Oreochromis niloticus: one gene and its partner. The protein of the gene in region 1 interacts with the protein of each later gene in a pairwise test. Links are inferred from orthologs where the notes say so. Each region holds a gene or a part of one and is shown on either strand. Other genes may lie near its edges. The genes, in order: mtmr9 and nmi.

Region 1 (12,296 bases):
AAAGCGGATTTTGGGGACCAAAATCTGCCGAGCGTCGCAGAGGAATCGATGACATCATGTCTGTGGGGGGAAGATGTAGTTTTTGCGAGCCGTGAAAACAGATGCTCGTCTGGCCTCTGGTTGGAGTATCTGATGCGGGGAGGGGAAAGCGGGTGAATTGAGGCGACTGTGCACTGTGATGTGAGCGCCACACACACACACACACACACACACACACACACACACAAACGAGCTTTAGGTTACTACCTGCTCCGTCTGAGCAAATAGCTCTCTTCCCTCCCCACAAAAGCGCAATGGCGCACTGTGGTGCACGCACAGCGGTGCGATTTCTGTGCAGATGTGGACACATTTGCGCAACATAAACGCGCGTGGTGTGACTGAATGTCGAAATAAGCTAAAATGTAAATGCATACATGTGAGCCACAAGGAGGCTGAGAGCCGAGCGTAACGGCATCACCGTGGTGCTGATTTTTTTACCCCAGTCATGTACACAAGATCGGGTTATACCAGGTGACAGTCAAGAAGAGGTTAGAAGGCTGGCTGAGTGGATAGAGTGAGAGGAGCTGGAAACACTGCGCTTTGAGGAGCTTAACCGATTCTTTTGAGGCCCAAACTTAAAAGTTTGTCTTACCTCCACACTTGTCCCATCTGAAAGATGTGTATGAGGGTCTGCCAGACCCAGACGGAGAGGCGGCAGCACCTGTCTCTTTGCAAACTGGCTGTAGCTCTGCGACTACTCAGCCCCTCCACGGAGCCCAGTCCTCCCCCCGTGTAATCCTGGACAAACCACCTGAAGCTCAGGATCTGAACCAGAACCGAGGGCACCAACACGAAGAACAGGGTCAGGCCTGACCACAGGAAGTCCTGTTTGTGATAATAGTCGACGGCCAGCCACAAATCGGTCCCCACGTCCCAGAAGAACACCAGCAGTGCCAGGATGATCCACAGGCAGTCCAGCCAGAGGCGTTCCTCCTGCGGTGGTCGCGCTGCATCTCTCCCCTTCCCCTTCCCCTTCCCCCGGAGGTAATGCAGGCAGGCGCTCCGGCAGCCCCAGTAGCACGACGAGGTGTTGCAGCAGTGACAGATGTGGAATGAGCTGCCGTCCCGAGTGTCGTCCTCTCCCGTCCCCACCACCTCGTCCAGATTGTGCAGCTGGGCGAAACCGGTGACGACCCCGCGACCATCGGATTTCGCTGCCATCTTTCCCTCTGATGTTCCCACCTCCTCCGGCTTCCGGGGTTCGTGACGACACTTCCCTGACACCTGTTTTGCACCCCAAATGTTGGAGCCATCTAAAAGCGGGGTGTCAGCGCGTCGCCGTCGCTCGCTCCGTCCCCAGAAAGCGCACCGGTGGCGCAACAGACGCGGCACATTTTCCCCTGCTTTCCCTCCACTGCAGATCTACTCCCACCTGGTAACAACAATCTAATCTGCGAGTTCAAACAATTTAATTGGCAACTCATGCGTCCGACTGCGATCCAACAATTTTTACCTGCGCATTAATCTCATTTCCTGCTGTTCAGTTGTTTCCCATCTCTGCAGCTCGCCTCCAGCTGCAAGCGGAGTGCCATGAGCAGACGGTCCCTCCACTGTCCCACGCCGACGTAATTCACCCCCCCTCTCTCCCCCCCCCCCCCCCCCTCTCTCTCTCTCTCTCTCTCTCACACACACACACACACACACACACACACACACACACACACAGACTCACTGCCAACGTGGTTGCCATCTAGTGTCTCATTTGAAGCCCCAAAATATGTAGGAGTGGGCTGACTGCATAATGTAGATGATGATTTGGTGATGACTTGAGTGTTTGAATCAATCATACTGACACAGTTTGGAGTCACTGTTTGTGGGATGAAAACAGAAGCTCCTCCGTTTACGTAAAACACACACACACACACACACACACACACACACACACACACACACACACACAAAAAACACAAAAAAAAACATATGCTCCCGAAAGTTTACGTGACCTGCTGTGGTTTTCGCCGTGCGTGTGAGCGCATATGAGGTTATTTTCTTATCGCAGTCGTAAATGTTTAGACTATTAATACAAAAAAGAGAGATGGGTAACTTCTATACAAAATATAGGATGGGGTTTGTTTCAGTGGGAATCAGAGGGGTTAAGCGTATACTGAAAAACACCCCCACCCCACCCTCGGGTTACATGTGGGAACAAAGAGCTGGTGAGTCCGCTGCAGGCTCAACAACTCTGATTAGAATGTGCCCACTGAGCTGCCACGCAGGGTCATATCCAATGTGAGATTGATTGGATCATGTCCGCTTCACCCCCGCTGTCTGCTCAGCTCTGCCTGTGCGGACTTGATGGGAGCTGTCTAGTGCTGAATCCTCGACAGCTCTGTCTTTATTCCCGAAGGCCCTAATTGAGAACGCGTCGTCTGAACTAGTTATCTATCTAACAAGGTTACTGTAACTAAACTGAAACTGAAAATTAACGTGAAATATACATTTTAGTTTGTTTGCTAATTTTTTTTTTTTTTTAGGGAAAGAAACTCAAAATGAACTGAAATGATTTTGTGAACAACTGACTAAAATAAACTAAAACTATAAAGAAAACACCCTTAAGTTTACTCCTTGTCAGTCTGGCAAAATGTATTATCCCACCTTGCCTGATGAGGCTTTAGTTTTTACTGAGACTTAGCATTTCTACAAAACTGTGAGTCAACTGCTTTCAAAAAGCTCTGTTTTCTATTGTGCTACATATGCTGATTTTCCTATATCTTGCCTCTGGCATGTTCCTTCATACAATATCAAATAAAAACACTAAAACTAATGAAAAACTAAACTGAAAAGACAAAAAAATGCAAAAAAAAAACCTAACTAAATAAAACTGACTTAAAAACAAACAGTCAAAATGAAATTAAAATGAAAACTAATTGGAGGAAACAAAACTATAACATGTCCGGTAGTCAACTGACAAAAGCATCCCTACAATCTACACTCACTGGCCACTTCATTAGGTACATCCAGTCATCTTCTTATTAATGCAGGCATTGAATCAGCCGATTACATTTCATTTGCATTTAGGGGTCAGGCCTAACTAGTTGATGTTCAAGCTGAGCATCAGAATGTGAAAGAATGGCGGTTTAAGTGATTTTGAACGTGGGATGGTTGTTGGTGCCAGACGAGCTGGTCTGAGTATTTCAGAAACTGATGATCTGCTGGGATTTTCCCACACAACCATCTCTAGGGTTTACAGAGAATGGGCTGAAAAAGAGAAAATATGAAGTGAGCAGCTATTCTCTGGGTGAAAATACTTTGCTGAAGCAGGGGTCAGAGGAGAAGGCCAGACTGCTTCAGCAACAGGCAACAGCAACTCAAATAAGCACTTGTTACAACCAAGGAATTCATAAGAGCATCTCTGAATGCACAGCACATCAAATCTTGAAGCAGCTGGGCTACAGCAGCAGAAGACCACACCAAGTGCCACTACTTCAGTAAGTTCAGGAACCAGAGCTCAATCCAATAGTGCATCTTTGGGATTTACATCATGGATATGCAGCCAACTGCAGCAACTTTGTGATCCTCATGTCGAACAAAATCTCTGAGGAGTGTTTCCAGCACCAGTTATTTGGCTCAGAGTAGCAGGTATAACTTCATTACTACCTCAGGTCTCTAAACAGTGCCTTGTGAGCAGCACTCTGAATGCACACTCAGGTTTAATGGCCTGGGGTAGGCAGTGAAAAAAAGGCCTCAGAGCAATAATAATTAAAAAACAAAATTATACAGCAACAACTGTTTTCTTGTAATAACAATAATTTTACACACAAAAAAGCAAAACACAAACCTACAGTAGTAAGTGTGTGAGACTCAGAGATGAGTTAACTTTAACCCTGTGAGGTCAGTGATGACCCCAAACATGGTCCTAAATCCCAACATTTTGAGAGATAAACAAACAAATACTTATTTGTTAGAAAAAGCAATGTAAATAGCTGTTACGCGCATCAATTCAAATATTTTTATTACTAATTTCCAAGAACATTTTCTTTTAATTGGTGGGAGAACATGTTAAACATACAAAAATCGACACATTCGGATAGCATGGGATCAGATGGACTCAGAGGGCTGAAAGAATACAAGACAGGAACAATAAGGCTTTTTTGAGGAGTAGGTCTGGGGTGATGGTTTTCTAAGGGTGGCATACGCAAAATTATTCAGGCAGTATGTGTGTGATTCCCACCCAAGTACAAGGAATCCGCGAAGCAGTGTGGCTTTACTTCAAATGTAAATGTGGCATCCTGTGAATAATATGTTCAGGTTGAACAAATCAATGATGCACTGTAGGCAAGGCTGTGTTGTGATTTCAGAGGTTAAATCAATACAAGTGGCAATGAGAAGCTAATAACAAGACTGTGGGATTCTCCTCTACTTTGTATGAATACTAGTGATGCTGTAAATAACATCCATCTGGCTTATGTTAAATTTTACCATGGGTCACTTCTACAGATGTGAATAATTATCCCCAAAATATCAATGTATAAATCTAAGAAGGCAGATCATGCTTTGTTTTTGTTTGTGTGTGTCTTCTTATGTATGTAAATTTATATAAACCAGGAATAGAAGACAAAGAATGAGAGAAAAAGAAGTTCTAATCAATTACAAAGAAAAATTACAAAGAAACACTGAGCTCTATCACTATTCATTGAAGGAGCTTAATCAACTCGATCAGAGGCAATAAGCCTACTGATGGAGCACAGAAGTGCAAATCCAGACATTTGTCACAGTGAAAAATCACAACAGATTCTGGTGTTAGACTCCGCACCTACATCAAAGTCATTATCTGCCTTGACAGACAGCTCTGATTCACTGGACATGCCCAAAATAACACCACACAAACAAGAACCATTCAGAACAGAAGGTTAAAGTGAAGGAGTGAATCATGGATGAGATTGTCTTCATCAGAAGATGAATGAAGAGCCTGGGTGAGTAATTGGTGTTGGTGTGGGTACTAATTATCCAGCCCCTAAAATTTGCCAGACGATGTTCCAGCATGTTTGGAACTCTTCAATAAATGTCAAAAAATTGCTCTGTGGGAAGTGTGGGAGTGAGCATTCAGTTCCCTCGCGACAAATTTGGACACTTAACAGATCGCAGTTTGACGTTAACTGGGAGCCTGTGAGAGCACCTTTAATGGGAAATGTGAGTATGTCTTTGGCAATAGTTGCATGCAGTGATTTCCCACGTTCCATGGAGTTACAGTCATTATCCTTCACCCACTTTTATATTTATAACTTATTCTTCTTTTTTGTAGGTTGTGGATCTTTTATAACAGACGCTAAACTAAATCATCTTCACATTTGTCAGAGCATCCTCTTAAATAAAAGATAGAGGTTAGGCTTCTCTGTTGTATTCTGTGAAGTGCATGTTTGCTTTGAAAGTTATTTTTTATCAGTTCATCTCTTGACAGCAAAGCATCTTCTCCCCAGAAGAAGAGCAGTTATTTGGTTTGTAAAGCAACGCTGGGTTTCACATTCAATTTAGCCCTGGTGTCTGTACAGCGCTCCCTATGATGTGGGCTGGGAAGGCCCAGAGCAAACCATCTATTGTGAAGCTTAGACAGGCTGCAAGTGAAGCAAATACCGTGCTGATTTGCAATACATCACAGACACACACACACACCCACACAATGCTCAGAATGTCTAAAACAAAATGGTCCACAGTAGCCTCTGCCAAGCTATCTGCTATTCTTCTTCTCCCTCCAAAAGCGTTCACCTCTTTAGGGAGTCTGCCGTTCAGGCTCCTTGTGTGTTCCTTCATATGCTTTAAGATCTCAGCGGGCAGTTGTCCTCACTATTCAGAGAGCTAAGACAAAAACCTCAGGCAACGTTTCTTCTTTTTTTTCCCCCTGCTGCACGCCCTTTCTTTAGAATAAACCCCCCAGCCGCCTTCAGCTAATGCAGCGCACACATGATCTTTAAAGCCCGAGTCAAAATGTCATTATCTCTAATGAGTATGAGTGTGTGCAGCTTTTTAATCTCCTGATTATTTAATCAGCATCCATAAAGCAGAAAAGTGCAGTTTAGTTTGAGCTCATGCTTAGCCTTGTCAGTAGGTCCCCTCCTCCTCTGTCATTTGTGTTTAAGGGTACTGAAGTCTCCTGTGTCTGTTCTGCCCCTGCCAGCTGCCTACTGGCTCCTCCTTCGTCTACCCCCCCTCCTCCTCCTCTTCTTCCTCCTCCTCCTCAGGCCAGATATGACTTCTCTCTGCTCTCCTTGTTAAACTTTGCTACACCAGCCTGTCAAACTGTACTTGGAACTACACAAAGACCCCACACTAGACTTTTTTTCCTTTGGGGCCTCGAATCATTGGACTTAATATTAACTGTTAAAACTCTGTCTTCAGTTCACTTTAACTCCCATTTTTTCAATTCGAGATGGGACTCTGCAGGTCATTGTTGTCCACTTATTTTTTCTTTTTGTTGTTGTCTAAGTTTTCTTGATACCCTTACATTTTAGTTTACAGCTTGTGCATTTACCTGACTTACTGCAGTCTTACCTTGCATACCTATCTGTGATCAGTGGTATTATCAGGCCTCCACCACCAGGCTGGATCAATAATTTAGTGTAATTCCATTTTTTTTACAGTCTATAGCAACAATTGTCAACAACAGTCACACCAAGTTGCTTTATGTTGTAAGGTAAATACCCTACAATATTAGAAAGAAACTTTAATTACCAGATGAGCTCCTATAAGGAAGCACTTGGGAACTGTGGGAATGACAATCTCTCTGTTAATAGGAAAAAATCTCCAATGGAAACAGACAATTAGAGTTTAATAATTGCCAATTATTAAATTGAGTAGTGGCGTGTAAACCCGCAGGAAGTGACAAGAGGTACGTGATTCAGTGCATCATGGGAAGCTCCCCAGCAGTCTAAGCCTATTACAGTATTACAAAGAGATGGCTCGGGGTCACCTGATCCAGCACTAACTCTAAGTTTTATCGAAAAGGAACGTTTTAAGCTTAATGTTAAATAACATGTCTAAATGTATAACATGACTCACAGCACATCTATCATCATACATTATCTACCCGGTGAAATCAGGGCAAAACTGTTTAGACTTCTGAAAGCCAGAAATCTCTCAAAAGTACTCCAATGTCACCACCTAGTGACCTTTTTTGATATTGGTCGGTAGACCCCAAACACACAGACTAAAATGAAACAGCCTTTCACGGATTTTCAGAAGCCTTGTAGATGAAGCACAGATCTGACGCTGCCTCCAAACCATTAAACTCCAACTCATTCACTGTGTTGCCGTATGGATGTTTAAACATACGTATATCTAATATGTGGACATTATAAGTTCTTCGGCGGCTGTACAGATTTAAAGTATAACGCTAATGTTAAAGAACACAGGAGAGCACAGAGTCACTTCCCGTTTTAGACGAGAATTGCGGAATTTGGGATGCAGAACTGAGCCGAGAAAAGCCGGTTGTTTCCAGTCGGCGTGTTTTTCTTAACGTACCAGTATCGCCCTGCGACCAAATAAAAGAAAACATTGTCAGGTAGTTGTACGATAAATATTTTTAGTGTTGGTAAAAAATGGTCCTTGTTGTTTTTAATATTTATATTATACGTGATGTTTGTGCTTTGGCTTGAATTTTGAAATGTCGGCCGTTTTATATGGTAAATTATCCTCCTTTCTGTCACGATTAGCCTGCTAGCTGACGTTAGCGGTTTAATTTCCGGAATAGAATAACTTTATCAAGATGACCTATTTTTGTAGTACTTTTTCATCTTTACTGTTAACCGACATGGACGCACACGATATATGTCTCATATATGTCGGCAGAGGTTGCGCTGGCCTGTCCTTACAATAATAGTAGCTTGACTTAACCAATAGCGTTGTCTTTATGCTTTAAAATCACCGCGTCTTTTTTCTTTCTGTCTGGTCAGATTATGGAGTTTGCAGAGCTGATAAAGACACCCAGGGTGGACGGGGTTGTCCTACACAGGCCTTTCATGCCTACTGTGGAGGGGACTCTGTGTTTGACTGGTCATCACCTGATTCTCTCCTCCAGACAGGACAACACGGAGGAGCTGTGGCTGCTTCATTCAAACATTGACTCGATAGAGAAGAGGTGACAGCGTTGTGTTGTTGTTTTTCTAAATGACTGTTATGTAATCTCTTTATGAAAATGGTACATCACCTATCTTAAATAGATGCAGGTCAGTAGAGCATGCATTTGGTAAAATCAGTTTGAGTTACGCCTGTTTTTTAGTGCATGCTGCAGATCTGATTATTTATTAATAGTGTCCATATGCTTAACTTGCTTATAGTTAAACTGGTTAGAGAAACTAACATCAACTGGTTAAAGACACGGGGCTTGTAGTGGCAAAGAATTTGTTTTTCTTCACTGCTATTTCTGGTATTTGTACCGTCTTTAAACATTTTAGGTTGGACACACAAGCTTCAGGAGGTTTGCCTAGTACTTAACTGTCAGTTTCTCCTCCAGTATTGGCCGAACCTGCAGATGACCTTAAGGTATGGGTTTTCTAAATGGAAAATAACTTGGAACAGTGGTAAACCTTCCCAAGTGTGCCCAGCCGACCAACACTGACACATCCAGGAGGTCTGAATAGATACCAGATCAACCTTTAAAGAACTGAAGACGTCAGTTAAAGCCAGTGTTCATGATTTAACAATAAGAAAGATGTTGCACAAAAATGGCATCCATGGGAGAGTTCCAAGGTGAAAAATCACTGCTGACCAAAAACAACACAAAGGGCTTGTCTGACATTTGCAAAAGATATCTTGATGATGCCCAAGACTTTTGGAAAAATACTCTGTGGACTAACGAGACAGAAGTTGAACCTTTTGGTATGAAACTAACATGGCATTTTATTTAAAAAAACAAAGTCATACCACCAGTCAAACATGGTGGTATTAGTGTGATGGTCTGAGCTGCATTGCTGCTTCGGAATCTGGGTGGCTTGCTGTATTTAATCAATTCTCCACTACCCAAAAATCCTGAAGGAAAATGTTCAATCATCAGTTCATGCCCTGAAACTCAAGCACACTTTGGTTATGCACCAGGACATTGGTCTGAAACACACAAGTCTACCTCTGAAAGACTCATTGCCAGTTATCACAAACACTTAATTGCAGTTCTTGCTGCCAAGGGTGGCAAAACACAAGTTATTAGGTTTTTTTTAGATGGTTCCAGGTAGGTTTGGATATCTGTTTCCTTTAATAAATGACATCATTTTAAAATGGCATTTTGCATTTACTCAGGTTATCTTTGTCTAATATTAAAATATATTTGATCTGAAACATTAAAGTGTGACAAATATGCATAAAAACAAAACAAAAAACGAAGCAGGCAAATACATTTTCACAGCACTGTATTGTCTCTTTCATTGTAAAGCAAATGACTCATAAATCATCCTGCCTTTCTGACTGAACTTCATGCAGATACCTTCACATTAATCCATTAAGAATGGATTTATGCAGCTCATTGTACTTGGATACTGGCCAATCCACTCTTTCATCTGTAGCTGGGGCATATTGCTGCTTAGAGCTTATGTACTGAGCACTGAGTACTGAGACTGCCTTTAATAACAATCACCGAATCTACAGTCAAACTAACAGTTGTTTCAAAGATTCTTCCAGAAACCCAACATGAGGATAACATGCAAATTACACACAGAAAGCCGAGCTGTAGGGCTCAGAGTAGTTCACTGATACTCTGTGTTTGTTCATGATATTCATCCTCTTTATTGTGCTCACCTTTTAAATTTTAGATTTGTGGGGTCTTTGGGGCACATCACTGTCAAATGCAAAGACTTGAGAATGATTCAGCTTGAAATCACTGGTATGGAGGAGTGTCTCAACATTGCCAGTTCTATCGAGGTAAGAACAAAGGCTCCCCGCCGGAAAGAGAGTGATTATTTTTAGCTACGCTATATTTTTCTCTCAGGCTCTCTTTGTTTTTGTCATGTCAAGTTAAATTCTGCATGTGATTAAAATTGTGAATAACAACTAAATGTTTTCATTCCTCTCAAGGCTCTGTCGACTCTTGATTCAGTCTCCCTGATGTACCCTTTCTTCTACCGGCCTATGTTTGAAGTCATAGAGGATGGATGGAATTCATTTCTTCCCCAGAATGCCTTTAAAGATTTGGAGTCCATGGTACGTTTAGGTCTCTGCTGTGACATTACAGAGTAATTCAATTTGAATCAGGGTTATTGGACCTTTTTTCCCCTCTACATCACTTTGCAGACAGATGAGTGGAGGCTGAGTGAGGTCAACAAAGACTTCAGCTTGTGTCCGTCATACCCCCCACTAGTAGCAGTACCCAAAGATGTTGATGATGAAACGCTGAAGAAAGTAGCTACTTTCCGTCACGGTGGCCGTTTTCCAGTACTTAGCTACTATCACAAGAAGAACGGCATGGTAAGCGCAAGGAAAGATAATTACTCTCTGCCTTTGACCATCTCTTTTGCTTCTCATTGTTTGTGTATTTGAACATTATAGCTAGGGATGGACTGATCCAATATACAGTATCGGTATCGGTCCGATCCTGACCTGAATTACTGGATTGGATATCGAGGAGAAATAAAAAATGTAACCCGATCCATTAAATATTACAAAAGCACCTTACAAAACTTGCAACATGGCTTAACCCAGGTAGTGACCTTAGCACGTCAGAGAAGTATGCGTCACGTGATAGAGCGGCTGTTGCGTGCGAGACCTGTTGGTGGTCTGGAGTTGCTTGTCACTGAAAGCATCTGGAGCCTCGCTACGTGCTGCCAAACCGGTATTTCACCTCTGAGTAAGCTATCCCAGAGAAGTAAAGCAAGTGTGTAAGTTCATCTCTGAATGTTTGTCAAGCATTGTTACGTTAAGCTTAACAACTGATATATGGAGCTCGGACGTCTGTGCGTTGTCATTGCTAAGTCTGACCGTACAATGGATAGACTCAAGTTTTACTTTGGGAAAAAAAAACAACTGTGTTGCAGGTTAAACAGTTCCGTGGTTCCCCCCCAAAAAACTATGAAAACACTTTTTCATACTTGTGTTTTGTATAGAAATTACACAAAATTCAGTCTAAGATTAAATGTGATAGAAACTTCTTACACTGACATCCATCTTGATAAAACATGAGTGTCATGAAGGCATGTTTGCATTTATTTGCACTGCTTTCCACTCTGGATATCTATTTATGTTAAGCTTTAAGTATAAAAGGGTCCATTCTACAACCCATTTATTTTTTAGTTGTTGAATATAAACATTATTTTGTGCTGATATGGCACTTCTTTTTTTCAGAACCAAAGAGTTTTTGAAATCTGTATAAATTGAATTTTAAATTACTTTTTGAATATTACTTTAAATACTTAGATTTACAGTTCTGCTAAAAGCTTAAATAAAAAGATCAGTATTGCTGAACTGCAAAATATTTTGGATGCAGTGTATTTTTTGCAAGTGTAATAGAATAGCTTTAGTGTTTTGTCTTTTTAAATTTGAGTATGACCATATACAAGATATGCAAGATATTAAAAAAACAGTTTTATTGATTATAAAATAGACTATATCGGATTTATATCGGTATCGACAGATATCCAAATTTATGATATCGTATCGGACATAAAAAAGTGGTATCGTGCCATCTCTAATTATAGCGGCTGACAAATCACTTGCACTTTCAGGTGATGATGCGAGCAGGACAGCCACTGACAGGCACCAATGGGCGACGGTGTAAGGAGGACGAGAAGCTGATCAACGCCACTCTGCGGCCAGGAAAGCGTGGTTACATCATTGATACACGCGCTATCAATGTTGCTCAGCAGGCCAAAGCCCGAGGTGGAGGGTTTGAGTTGGAGGCCAACTACCCACAGTGGAGGAGGATCCACAAGGCCATTGAAAGGTGCTTGGACACTTAGATATTAAGAAGACAGTAACACTTTATAATACGACCTGTTTAGAGTCTGCTGCATTGCAATTCCCCTATGAATAAATGGAATTTCAATTTATTATTATTATAATTGCCTATAAATGCTTAAATGTGGGTACGCTAGAATACTGGGGTAACAAGTCACCTTTATACAGGAATCAAAGAAATAATTATACTGTAAGTACATTTAAGTAGTGCCTGAATTCTGGCTGTTTTTGAAGGTATTTGTTTTTTCTTGTAAGCTGATAAGGGACAACAAGCCTTAAGGACATTTGAGTAATAGAACGTCCATCATGCACATCAACATAACAAATATTAAAAAAAATAAAGATGCAAAAAGGCATGATTAATCCACTCCATAATATGGCACTGA
Region 2 (13,095 bases), on another chromosome or scaffold:
TTCTGGCATCACATCGGGGACGTTGGAAACTTTCAGCTCCTTTCTGGAAACGTCAAGGTGGACCTACATCGGTGTGAACACACACACTGTTTACAGGGTGTTGATCATTACAAAACATCACTCAGTGCAACATGGGAGTCTCCCAGCAGCCTACACCTATTGCATCATAACTAAGGGAGGATTCAGGGTCACCTGGTCCAGCCCTAACTATATGCTTTAGCAAAAAGGAAAGTTTGAAGCCTAATCTTAAAAGTAGAGATAGTGTCTGTCTCACGAATCCAAACTGGAAGCTGAAGGCTCTGCCTCACATCCTACTTTTAAATGTCTTATAAGTACATCAGCAGACTGAGAGCAAAGTGATGTACTTGGGTATATGGTACTATGAGGTCTTTAAGATAAGTTGGGGCCTGATTATTGAAGGGTTTGTGAGGAGAAGGATTTTAAAATTATATATATAAATATAAAAAAATTATAAGTGGAAGAAAGCAGTCCTATATATTTGTTTGCTAACCCCATGCTTTGAGTTTATTATTTTTGTTTTATTCATTATTATATTTACTGTATAGTATGTTCTTTATGTTGTCACAAATTCCAGCTTAATTTTCCATTTTCTGGTTCTTGATATTAGGTTGTAGTTTTAGTTGTTGCTTGTCCCAGGAGGTCATTTTTCCTGCTCTTTGTGTTCTCCAAGTCAAGTTTACATTCCTGTGTTCCTTGTTTAGTTTCTTCCTGTTTTAATTTGTTCATTCTGACCCCGCCGCACACAGAAGGCCATATTTTTCATGGGAATGACTCAGGATGGATCTAGTTCGGTATTGTTAGAAATACTTTTTAACTAAAACCAAAAAACTTTGGCTTTAGTTAAGAAGTATTTTTAGGAAAGTATTCTCTTTGTGTCATCACAGCAATAAGTAATCCTGGAGCTGTGTACTGTCTCACTCCTACTCTGTGGACAGATTTTAATGACCTGGCAGTGTTACAACTGTGGAAACTATAGAGAGGAAACTAGAGATGCAGTCAACAGAAAAAATAAGGCTCTGGTTTCTTTTTCCTTTTAGTTGTGACCCATAAGGCTTCATTTACTAACTGAAGCATAAAAAAACCTGATGACACTGTCGAAGCATCTACCTCGAACTTCACAGCAGGATCCATGGTGATTCTTCTCGGCTTCACGTCCAAACTGCTGTTCTCACAGGACACAGAGCACTTGGCAATTTTCAGGATCTGACGAGCCACTGCAGACCAAGAATGAGGCACGTTGTACAAAGCGCTTCATAATAACCAGTTCATTTACCGTTCAGTATAACTGAAGACTGTTGTAATTTTATTTTAGAAAGTATCACCACCTGTACCACTAACAAGTGAAACTGCAGGTAGGCGTGACCTACAATAGCAGCAGTATTGGAAGTGGTTCAAACATGCACAAGGACAAAAATCTGAAAGGGAAATCACCCAAGTTTAAATCAAGTATTTGATTTTGTTATAGCTGGTGTTGCAGAGATTTCTGATCTGATGCTGATATGATGCATGTTAAACTAAAAAGATGAACATTCATGTGGCAGGTGCAGCTTCAGATACAGTCCCAATCAAAAGTTAAAGACCACTTGAAAAATGGCATAAAAATCATATTTTGCTTGGTTGGATCTTAACAAGGTTCCAAGTTTCAAGAAATGGGAGACAAAACATTTTCTTGAGCAGTTTACTGAAAACAACGCTTAAACTGAAACAGCTGATCCAAAGTTTACAACCACGTCTGTCTGAAATCATAATTTCATATTTATTATCTGAAATTGAAATTCTGTTTTTTATTTTAAGCATTTAACTGTCTTGTATGTGTCTTTTTCCAAGTGACAGTGCTAACTGTCGTTGTATAAATATCTTACACAGCAAAGCATGGAAAACCATGAGGACTCCTTATTTTTAGTTTCATTAACATTAACATAAGTAAGAATGAACCATACAGAGTACTGAAGTCAAATGACGTCTACCTTTCTCCTCCTCAAAGGTGATGAGAGCCTGTCCTCCCTGCAGAAGCACAGCAGCTCTCTGGCTGATGGTAAACACTCCTCTGATTGGCTGACTGTCCTCGTCACCCTCTTCCCTTGGCTCTTTATGCTGAGAAATGAATTTCACCTCTGTGTCTGGGATCTGGGCGTAGATCTGGACAGATGGGACAATACAGAGTTACAGGCCGTTATCTGTTTCAATGTGTATACAGCTGTGGTCAGACGTTTGTGTCCACTGATCAGGAACATGAAAGTCACCGTTTTATTTGGGGCCGTGAACTGCCTTTCACAGGGTGGAATGACTGTAGAGCATAGCTCTTGAAGGAATTTTAAAAAACTGAAATTAAGATGCACAATTTAGAATTGAATCCACACACACTCAAAAGAATATATATGAGCCTGTATGTCTATACAGTATCTCACAAAGGTGAGTACACCCCTCACATTTATGTAAATATTTTGTTATATCTTTTCATGGGACAACATTGAAGATATGACACTTTGATACAATGTAACATAGTCAGTGTACAGCTTGTGTAACAGTGTAAATTTGCTCTCACCTCAAAATAGCTCAATACCCAGATGCAACTTGCTAAAGGACATTTTAATATGTTTGGTGGTGCATGTATATACTGGAGCCTGTAAGTTTACTTTTGACCATGTGTGGAAAATCCCAAAAAAAATTCAAACTTATGCTTCCAGTTTTCATTAAACAGATATTCTGTATAATTATTCCACCCTGGAAAAACAAGCATTCAAAGAAATCATTACCATAATTACCATCACATTAATGCCTGTGATTATTGTATGTAAATGTGAGCAGATGGACAGATCTGAAAGTGTTCCTGGTTTTTACCTTGAATTTCTGCTGTAACTTGCAGGACTCTGTCTTCTTAGCCTCCAGTTCAGCCTGACATCTCTTCAGTTTCCCCAGCAAATCTTGATTGTATCTAGTCAGCTTCTGGATTTCATCCTATGGAAAAGAATAAAATGGAATATTTGGTGAGAGTTTTGTACTCTCAGTTCCTCTGAGTGTAATGTAGATGTTACAGAGAAGACTATAAGTGTACCTGAACTGTTTTCATGCTTTGATTAAATTCATCCTGGGTCTTCTGTTGGTTTTTGACACAAACGTTCATCTCCTGCTGTGCCTCTGACTTGGCATCATCTTCCCCCAGCTTTTCCAGTATCAGCCTGGCTTTCGTATCATCCGCTTTTTCGAATTTAGCCTTTAAGAGATATGGGGGGTGTTCAGAGAGAATACAACTGTGGGCAGTCTACAAAGAGACTACATGCTACTCAAATAAAATTATTCTCTCACTGACAGACATTTAAACATGACCAAATATACTCAAGTCATTCTGAATGATATAATACCACTGCTGATAAGTGAGAAAAGTACAGATTTGGAAGAGAAACAAGGCTTTACTTAGTTTTTATGTCCTTATGAGGGAAAAGTGGAAGAACTGAAGCATTTATAAATAGTTTATGATATAAATTTAAAAGAGAAATCCTAAACAATGCTGTGCACTTGGCTCACTGACGAAACTCAATATTCGTTCTGCGTCCCCCTAGTGTTGTATGCCTGCATTTTAGTTGACATTAACCTTATGTACCTTTATTTATTTTCTATATAAACAGGCTCCTGAGCAATCACTAATCAAGATCTGTACTGATCACGGTAATTGTGCATGTTTCACAGGATAATGGTGCAGCCGTTGACAGACTATGTGCCAGTCTTTCCCCCAAACAAAGGACTAAAACAGTGTTTATTCATTTTTGGTCGAGCTCACTTCACCTGCACCTTGTTTGCTAAAGTGTGAGCCATCAAAAGTTCAAAAGCCGTCAAAATAGTTCTTAGTTGAGCAAATATAGGCCTACACCCTATGGAATGCTGCCTGGGCCCATTCCATCTGACTTTCAGTTGCTGAAGCGAGCTGCTTTACGGTTTCTCCCTGTTTACTGCAAACCTCAGCTGCAAACTGCATGTTCTGTGCAGCCAAATATAAGTAACCATTTAAAGTTTAATCTCAAATGTGTAAATAAAATGTATCCCGTGATGTCTCAATGCTAATAAATTATATCAATGAATATTATGACATTTATTATAATATGGGCATTTAGATAGACTCTTTCAGGCTTTTCAGTCCAGTGCGTTTATTTGTAGAACATACTTAGTTCCGGGCTTGCCTTTACGATGCAGGATTGCATCTCGACTTAAATAAGAGATCTGAGAACTGTAATTACTGTTTAAATCACTCAGATCACTCACAGTACTGAGTAAACAAACCACCTTCTTCTATAAACGGAGAATGAAGACACTTCCGGCTGAGCAGTTGTCGTTTTCCCATAAATGTATTTTGACGATTGGATCGTGAACTTATTTTACTATTGAACTAAAACACTTCACGCCTGAAAATGGAAAATGTAGTTCAGCATTAGTTCCGGCCTACCTTCCATGCCTCCAACTCTCGCTTGGCCTCCTTCAGTTCACCGTCTTTATCCAGGCCTCCTTCCTTCTGCCAAGAAAGAATGGCATCGTTAACAACTGTGGACCACTTGTTTCTTCTTAGACGGACTAAAACAAACAAACAGACGAACACATTATTACTCACCTTATCATTTAGCGAGCGACTACCGAAGACCTCAGCCATGGTCTGAATGACAAAAAAGAAACAGATATGAAAACTTCACTTGGTAGCTACGATCCAAAAATCAGCCAGCTGTGACTGCACTGCCTCTTTTTTGAGTACTTATTATTTTCTGTCGAAGTTAGAAAAGAAACAAAGTGGCCCTGTTGTGCCGGAAACAGCTCCAAATCAAAAGTGAAAGTTACAGCCTGGTGTGACGAGCTTCCCGGTATGGAAGACCAAGTGTGACAAAAGTTCACAGTCAAAGAAATAAATTAATAAAAACATCTCGTGTGTGTGTTGGAAGCTACTGATTCTTTAGATAAAGGAAAAAACACGCAATTTTCTGGCTAAAAATATGCATGAAATTCTTAACCCATTTAATTACAAAAACAAACAAACAAAAATATTTTTAAAACAAAAAACGATTTTACATTTTTTTTGTATGTGTATTTTATTTTAAATAGTACAATATGTTACCAGCACCTAAAAAATCCATAGACGGGGGGAACGTGGAATGAAACACAAGAAGCGAAACATGGGAAGAGAAAAGAGAAACAAGACACAAGGACACACACGCACACATAAACACAAACACACAGGGAGGGACACAGAGGTCAAACACTATGGTGTTATTTTTGTCTCACTATTCTGAGAGCACGTAAAAAAAAAAGTACAAGTGTTGCATTTTGAGGAGAAATTTATTCCTCTCGCTCAGGTTTTGCATTTGCTCTTGCTCAGATCTCTGCGGACCTGCTCTCAATGTGTTGCTCGCGCTTTCAACATCTCTGCCCCTGCACGTTCAACTCTTTCTGTACAGCATTATATTTGTGCCACAAAACCAAAAAATCACAGATTTGGATGCAAAAATTCTGATTGGCTGCTTTAGTTTCTCCATTCAGCTCGCTAGCTACTGTAACCAAACCCAGGCAAATATCCCAGTATGCATTTCGTCCAAAACTCAAACAAGGCATTTGCAGAGGAACGCAGAGCGGCGGAGTTTGAAATATTACTCTTTCTGGATCACAAAATAAACTTTTAAGATATTTTCAGGCTACAAAGCAGGCAATATAAGAATAAGAAACTCAGAACAGACTAAACTTAAGACTACTAATGAACCTAAAACATAAACATAATACAAATTAACACCAAAACACAAGAAACTCAAAATGCTGGGTCAACATGACCCAGAACTCTCAGGTGACTACATAATGAAGAGAAGGCCAAGGGTTTGCAGCACTCAACAAAGCAAAGGGTGGCTACTCTCAGGAATCTCAAATATAAGACATAGTTAGAGTTATTTATCAATTTTTTGATAAATAACAACAAAATTATATTTGTATCACTGGCTGTTATGGGGAGACCCTGGAAACTGTTCAGAGAGTCTTTCCTTTATTCTGCTCGTGCTTCACACGTGTGCTGCTTCTGCAGCTCCGGGCTGCACTTTACAGCACAGTCTCTTCTGGTAAAGCTCACGTCTGCTTCTCCGCTGCCACAAGGGAGGAACAATGTTGAAGTTCTTTTCAGAAGTAATCGATGTTACAGAAGTAACAACAAATAAGAAGACGTCAATAAGCTCATCTATTTCTGCTCAGAGTGGCACAGTCTAAAGAAGTCAGTTTCCTGGATGGTGATGTGTAAGCAGCACATATTGGAAGTTACTGTGAAAGCAATGGAAGGAAAACTGAAAAGGTAGCAAGTCAAATGCAGCAGTTCAGTTCAGCTTTAGTGGTGTCTTTACACACTACAGGTGATTAAGTCATGGTCAAAGTCAAAGACAGCTCAGTTCATTTCATGGAAATCCCAGTATTACTATCATAATCAGTGGAGCTTGCCTCAAAACCCTCATTATAAAGACTGAGTGAAAAGGTTTAGGACAGAGTTTTGGCACTGTGCCCACAACTTTGAGACATCTACACAAAGTGCTGACTACACCCTTTCTCTTATTACACTTATTATTACAGGTTGTGTACCTGCTGCTTTAGGCAGTGCCAGTTTCTCATGAACCAGTTTCATCTGTAAATACTGAGTTAATGTTTTTAATACTACCGCTTGGATTTATTACAGGTGCATGTGTAAAAGAAGCAATACCCCACCTGCTGTGGATTGTGAAGACCAATTTAGACCATTCAATGACTCAAACACTGGAATCAAAAGTGTAATTAAATAAATATTAGATTGACGAATAATCATCTTATTCAACAATTACTGTCATACAGATGAGAGAAAGCAAGAAAAACAGAGACTTGTGGGTGAGCTCCATTAACTCATATCAGCAGAGAGAGAGAGCGGCACTCTGTGCTGTACATTAATTATAATAGCTTAATAAAACTCGCCTCTGCTTTCAAGGACAAAATAAAACAGGAGGAGTCTGTTCTCTGCTTTCAACAGAAAGTGTTATTTGCAGCATTAGTGACTTCATCATCACAATAACCTGTTACTCACATACTGTGTCACCATAAGTAAAATATTTATTCTGTAAAAATAAAATCTAGAAAAAACCCACAGATGACATGACAGATTTTTCTTTTCCCTTTTTTATTCACTTCAAATATCTCATAAACAACAGGAGGCCGCAGGTTCACTATAACCAAAACTTCTGATTCAAACATCACATCAGTGTTACAAGATACAGCAATAGAAATTTAAGGAAAGTTTCTTCATGGTTCAGAGGTTGCACAGCAGAGTTGAAAGATGGTGTGTGAAATGGACTCTTACGATTGGTCAGAATTAGCCAATGAAAATGTGAGAAATGTGAACTTTTTACAAAGAAGGAAAACACATTTCATTTAAATGAATATTTTTTAAATTAATTAAAAATAAAAGCGAATGTTATGCCATCTTCTAACTTTACTTGACAGTGTGTAGAACAAACCTGATAACTCCTAGAAAACTTAAAAATCAACCAAACACATCCAGTCTTTGAGGGCTGTGAGCAAAAACAACACCAGCTGGAAGCCTGTGTGGTTATTACAGTAACCACAGCAGTCTGCTCTCTGTATGTATTACTTTATAAACTGACTTACTGTAAGCAACACAAATGTTAACAGAGAGAGAATTTTGTTGAAGCACACTGTTTATTAGGATCATCACCTGCTGTCTTTAACAGTCTCAGTATTGTTCTTTCTTTGTTTGTGTGGGAGTTTCTCCAAAACATGTGCTCATCGCCATTACTGACAGTCTGGTATTGTAAGTAGTTCTGCTTGGAATTGTGCAGGGCTTGTCTGCATCAGTGTTTCACAGAACAGTATTATCAATATATGGCGATAGTCAAATTGGCCAGCAGATGTCACTGTGGACATGTGTTTCCGACTGTTTCGAAGCCTCGACCGGCTGTAACGCTTCGAACATTACGCTTTGTTTTGTTTTCATTTTTTTTTTTAAAGAACTTTATTGAACAAACAATGAGTATACAACATATAAACAGATGAGGTATACAAGAGAAAAGAACACGAACACACAAAACCAGGGGAAAAAAATAACTATATAAATACACGCAAAAATTCACATATATGAATTGTTTTAAGAGCCTTTTTGTTGGTGGAGTCTGATATTGAGTTTATGTACAATTCTACATCCTTAAGAAAGTGACAGAAATATGGTGTTTTATTATTAAACGTAGATTTATGGATAAAACAATTAGCTAAATGTATTAAGAAATTTATTATATAAAAAACATTTATCATTCTTCTCGGGGAACTTAAAGAAACAGAATAAAACATTTTCCAATCGTAAAGAAAACCCCCTCAAAATATGGACAATAACAAACCAGCTAAATTCCTTCCGGAAGCTCTGTGTAGAAGAACAGTACCAAAAAAGGTGTGTCACAGTTTCTGGATGATCCCCACAGAAAGTGAAATTAGTATTTATGTCTCTTTTAAATACGTTACGTTGTTTCACGAAGCCGTGCTTTGCCCATCACTATGGCAGTTACTTCGGTGGGTGGGCCTGGACCTCCCATAAGCCCGTTTTTTATTAAATAAACACTCTTTGCTACAGTTCATAACCACTCCATTACTCCCCATTATTCTTTAGAATGTAACTGTGTTGATTTGACACATGGATGCAATGAACAAGAGGAGAGGTGATTACAGATTTGCAAAGTTTAGGGTCAGGGAAGAACAGGAGGAGACTCTTTTCGACAATAATTTATTAGCATAAAGTCCGGATAGCAATGATACGATTGTGATTAATTAGTGAAACTGGAGGAGGCAGTAATGCAACACTTGGGGCGCTAAACAGGGGAGAAGAAGAAGAGAAGCTGACGCTGCAGCCAGCTGATATGCGCTGGGAGCGGAAGTAGAAAGTGACAGGCTGACTGGGCTTTAGGTTTGGTTAGCCTAGCTGCTCGTCTGTGTCTCCAAAGCAGAAACACAGAACTCAACTTGCAATGATGTTTTGGTTTCAGGGCTCAATTCCTGATGCCATTAAATCGGCTAAACAACGGAGTTTGGTCTTTGTCGTTGTCATCACAGGTAACAGTTGAAAACATGCGGAAACTCTATAGAGTGCTAGCCAGTTAGCGTTGGAAGCCATTGTAGCCATTAGCTAATTAGCATAGTCAGTGTGTTATGAAAGAAGTCGTCATATGTATTTGATGAATACCCACCGACAGCAAGAATACAGAAGTCTAGTAACGTATCTATGGTGTACAGGGTCTGTCGGCGTAACGTCCTGTGCAACAGCACCTGCTGTCCTCACAGCTGAACCGGGCTGACGTAACGCTAGCGTTAGTTGTTTGCATTCCGCAGGCCAGTCCGAGGATTTCATAAATGAGGGACAGTCCGTCCACCTGCAGAACAGTAGCTGAGTACACTTACTTGGCCAGCCTCAGCGCTACATCACAGTATGACAGGGCGCTGTGGAGCAAAAGGAGCTCCACATAGTCAGCATGGTTCACGATATGCCGCATATATCTCTGTGTTTTGTAATTAATCAGAAAGCGAGATGCAAAAAGAAACATTTATGGAAAGGATTAGGATCGTATGTAAAATAAATAACGAATTATAAAGAACTAGACTCATGGCATGGTCTCCTTTAAATAGCTCTCTACAATAAGTCTCAGCATCACACTGGACCAGATATAGACAGTGTTAGTAGTATACAACAGTGTATGGATTTTGATCTGAACAGATGTTGTTGAGCATGAAGCTGACACAAAGTGACAAACAGCTTCTGTTTTCTGTGGAGTCAAAATCTCTGGTTTTGTGCCTCCAACCTGGCACAGTTGTTTCTGTAATACATCAATGCATCACAGAAACACTGAGAACAGAGGAGAGAAAAGTGGTTCCCAGATTACGCAGAGGGACGTTACTGTAAGAGTTGGAAAAGATGAGATCTGCGCTTCTTTTGCAGTTCCATCAGTGAAGCTGGACCCGTAGTTTTGACCACATGTCTCATCAGTTTCCTGTCACTCTGTCCTTAGGAGAAGATGAACAGTCAGCACAGCTGATGTCCAGCTGGGAGGATGACAGGGTCTCAGAGGCGGCCCAGAAATGTTGCGTGGCCATCAAAGTGGAGGCCAAGAGGTAAAGATGTGTTAGGTAGAGTGATTTTAGTTGAAAGTAAACTGTTAAAGGATGAACCAAGATTTAAAGTTACCTGCATGGAATTAACTGTACATAAAATCAACAATAGATTGAGGTGTACTAGCAAAACCTGCTGTGGCGACTTTAAAATCACATGACATGGTGCTTCATGGATGTTTGTAGATATGATTTGTTACACATCATTTAGTTCCAGCTTCTCCATATTGAATCAGTTGTACAGGTCTGTCTCTTACTATAATGACCATGACGTAAGTCTGTGTGTACCCTGCCTCCTACTCATCGTGTCGGCCATTCGGAATTAAACTTTGCAGAAACATTGTGATACATACAGCGATTATGAATGTTGATTGACGTAGCATGATTTATTGAAATAGAAAAGTTAATGTATTTGGCGATTAGACCCCGTTGATCCATCATAGCAGAACAGAATCCCAGCAGTGATGGGATTTGGGACAGGACCCCCTGGAGTCTAGACTCTGGTGGTGGTGAAGATGAAGACTGAGGCTTGGGTGGAGCTATGGCTGAGGTGGAGATAGGGAGGAGGTTGGTTGCATGGACGAGTCTGTTTAAGCCATGCAAAGCAGAGGCTAATTGGCTCAAAGAAGATGGACAGGATGATTTGACTAGAGTAATGACACAAGTACTGAGCTTGACAGTGTGGGGAAAGTGGAAGAACAGAAAAGCAGGCAGGTGACTGACCTTATTGAAGTTGTGGATAAACTTCATCTTTTTAAAAAGATGTGTTATAAAGTCTTCTGTTACCTGTTCGTAACTTACCAGTCACCAAAAATTGTATGTGCCGTGGAATTTTGTGTGAGTCACCACTAAATGAAGAATGAAGAGTTTGGAAAAGTGTTGATCATTGTGGGTTTTTGACATTCATGTAAAGAGGATCACTTTTCACACCTTTTCCTCCCTGTGTCACCAAGCCTGTACATCCGACTTTTAATGGCTGCTTATTTAATTCAGTTACTTTACTACCTTAATGTATATACTCTAGATGTATATGAGAAGAGCAGCAGTTAGCATTTCCTCCACTATTTTTAAAATGCTATGCCTCTCTTTAGATTTACTTCTGCTTGTATTACCATTAGAGCGAGACAAGTTATCTGTTGTCAACAAAGTTTGTAAAGAATTTGCCAGATTGAATTATCTAACAGTTTATCTGCATACACACAGTTTTTATTTTGACCTTTTTACCCCTCAGCCGTCAAAGGTGATTGGGTTGATTGATTGGGCATCGTCGTTACCTTGCTTTTCTCTTAGAATCAGCTCCCAGGTTTTGCAAACTGCTGCTGCTACTGTAAAGATCAGCCCTAAACCTTCCTCGATCACGCTGTCAGTCTAACAAGCATTTGATGTAATACCTCTAAACAGAGATGTTAATGTGCTTGCAGTTAAACCACAAAATGTTTCAATGATTTCTTCTTTCCCCACAGTGACACGTGTGCACAGTTCTCCCAGATTTGTATCCTTCTGTTGTGCGAGGTTTGAGCTGATGCCGCAGTGCTTACTAAACTTATTACTGACTTGTCTTTGGGAACTGGGTGTCTTGGCGGAGCCTCACAGCTTGAAGGTTCTGACTTCGAATCTGATTTTAGAGCTTTCTGTGAGCACGTTTTGCTTGTGTGGCTTTTCTGCAGGCTGCTGTGGCTTCCCCTCACAGTTCAACAACTGAAGTTCACAGAAGTTTGTTGAATTTATTTTAAAGTTCTCACACTTACGCACAGAGCGCTTTTCTGTTTAATCAGGCCATCTGCTGATATTCCTGTTTATGTTTTTTACCTTAAATTCTGTTTTTGATATGGTTCTTTGTTTGTATTGTGTTGGAATTGTTGTTCAGTGCTTTGTGGTTGTTATTACTGTGAAAAGTGCTATTAAGGTTGGGCGATTGGACGAATATATTATCGACCATCAACGATAGGCTGAGCCTTTCACCGATCGTTTTTACAAGAGTGATTTATTTATTTGCCCATGAGTAAGTTTGCTAATAATGTTGGTTGAGGCTAAGAGACACAAAACAATAATAGCGTTGTTTTAACGGCACACTCCTCCAGCTGCAAGCAAATGCAGTGATTCATTTACTCAAACTCATAACAGAAAGAAACGCAGTAGCCTGTGTTCAGAAAAAACAAAATCATTTTATTTAAATAAAAAAAAAAAACCTACAATGTTGGGGAGGGAAACAAAGAGAAACTGGCTTCTTTTTTTCTACTATAACTGTGTGTATCTGTCTCACACACTCGACCAAACAGCAAAAACAAAATTAAACAAAAAGTAAGTTTAAAAATCAAAATGTCTCTTCCAGTGAACATTAAAAACAAGTCTCTAATGTAAAGTTAAGTCTTTTGTGCAATTTGGCCCAAATAACTAAATAAATAAATAAATGAATAATCCAAAAAGTAGCAACATTAATACTGAAACAAACAGGAAAAGAAGGTAAAATGTTCCATCCAAACAAAAGTTATAAATTCTAAACACACAAATCAGTCCGCACATGATTTCATTGCTCCGCCCATCAAAAAGTCACCTGCACGAATATATCGCCTGTCGTCATTTATTGGACTGACGAATGTCGATTGGAAAAATTTGACGTATCGCCCAACCTTAAGTGTTGTATAAATAAACTCATTTACTGTGCTATTTAAGTACTCAGTCGAGTTCACATCACTCATGTGAGTTGCTTGAAGCTTGGGCCTTAACAAAACCACCCTTAAGATCCGGTGGTGTGCATACCATCGAGCTTCTTCATTGGAGACAACGGGATTCCTTTGGAGGTCATCGCTGGAAGTGTGTCTGCTGAAGAACTGATAAAGAGAATCAACAGAGTTAATCAGGTACTCATGAAATGTGTGAATTATGTACAGTTACTTTTACAGCTACTGCCAACCCTACTGTTAATTATTTCGT

What was found.
Region 2: the proteins of mtmr9 (region 1) and nmi interact in binary tests that used the Homo sapiens proteins (3 or more experiments, as listed by UniProt). The two-hybrid records come from large-scale screens. The link is inferred for Oreochromis niloticus from reciprocal best matches to the Homo sapiens genes MTMR9 and NMI.

The regions. Positions count from the first base shown.
Region 1 is NC_031980.2:8,513,438-8,525,733, forward strand, and holds the start of mtmr9 (myotubularin-related protein 9), read left to right. Parts: upstream 1-7,395; 5' UTR 7,396-7,534; intron 7,535-7,925; 5' UTR 7,926-7,928; coding exon 7,929-8,110; intron 8,111-9,773; coding exon 9,774-9,882; intron 9,883-10,035; coding exon 10,036-10,161; intron 10,162-10,251; coding exon 10,252-10,425; intron 10,426-11,678; coding exon 11,679-11,896; intron 11,897-12,296. Other genes in the region: xkr6b (XK-related protein 6b), read right to left, coding at 632-1,200. UniProt on the Homo sapiens protein: Acts as an adapter for myotubularin-related phosphatases. Increases lipid phosphatase MTMR6 catalytic activity, specifically towards phosphatidylinositol 3,5-bisphosphate and MTMR6 binding affinity for phosphorylated phosphatidylinositols.
Region 2 is NC_031987.2:33,061,793-33,074,887, reverse strand, and holds the start of nmi (N-myc-interactor), read right to left. Parts: upstream 4,853-13,095; 5' UTR 4,661-4,852; coding exon 4,622-4,660; intron 4,526-4,621; coding exon 4,460-4,525; intron 3,236-4,459; coding exon 3,077-3,235; intron 2,980-3,076; coding exon 2,863-2,979; intron 2,161-2,862; coding exon 1,989-2,160; intron 1,236-1,988; coding exon 1,129-1,235; intron 64-1,128; coding exon 1-63. Other genes in the region: ubxn4 (UBX domain-containing protein 4), read left to right, coding at 9,027-9,111, 10,062-10,164, 11,625-11,653, 12,904-13,022. UniProt on the Homo sapiens protein: Acts as a signaling pathway regulator involved in innate immune system response.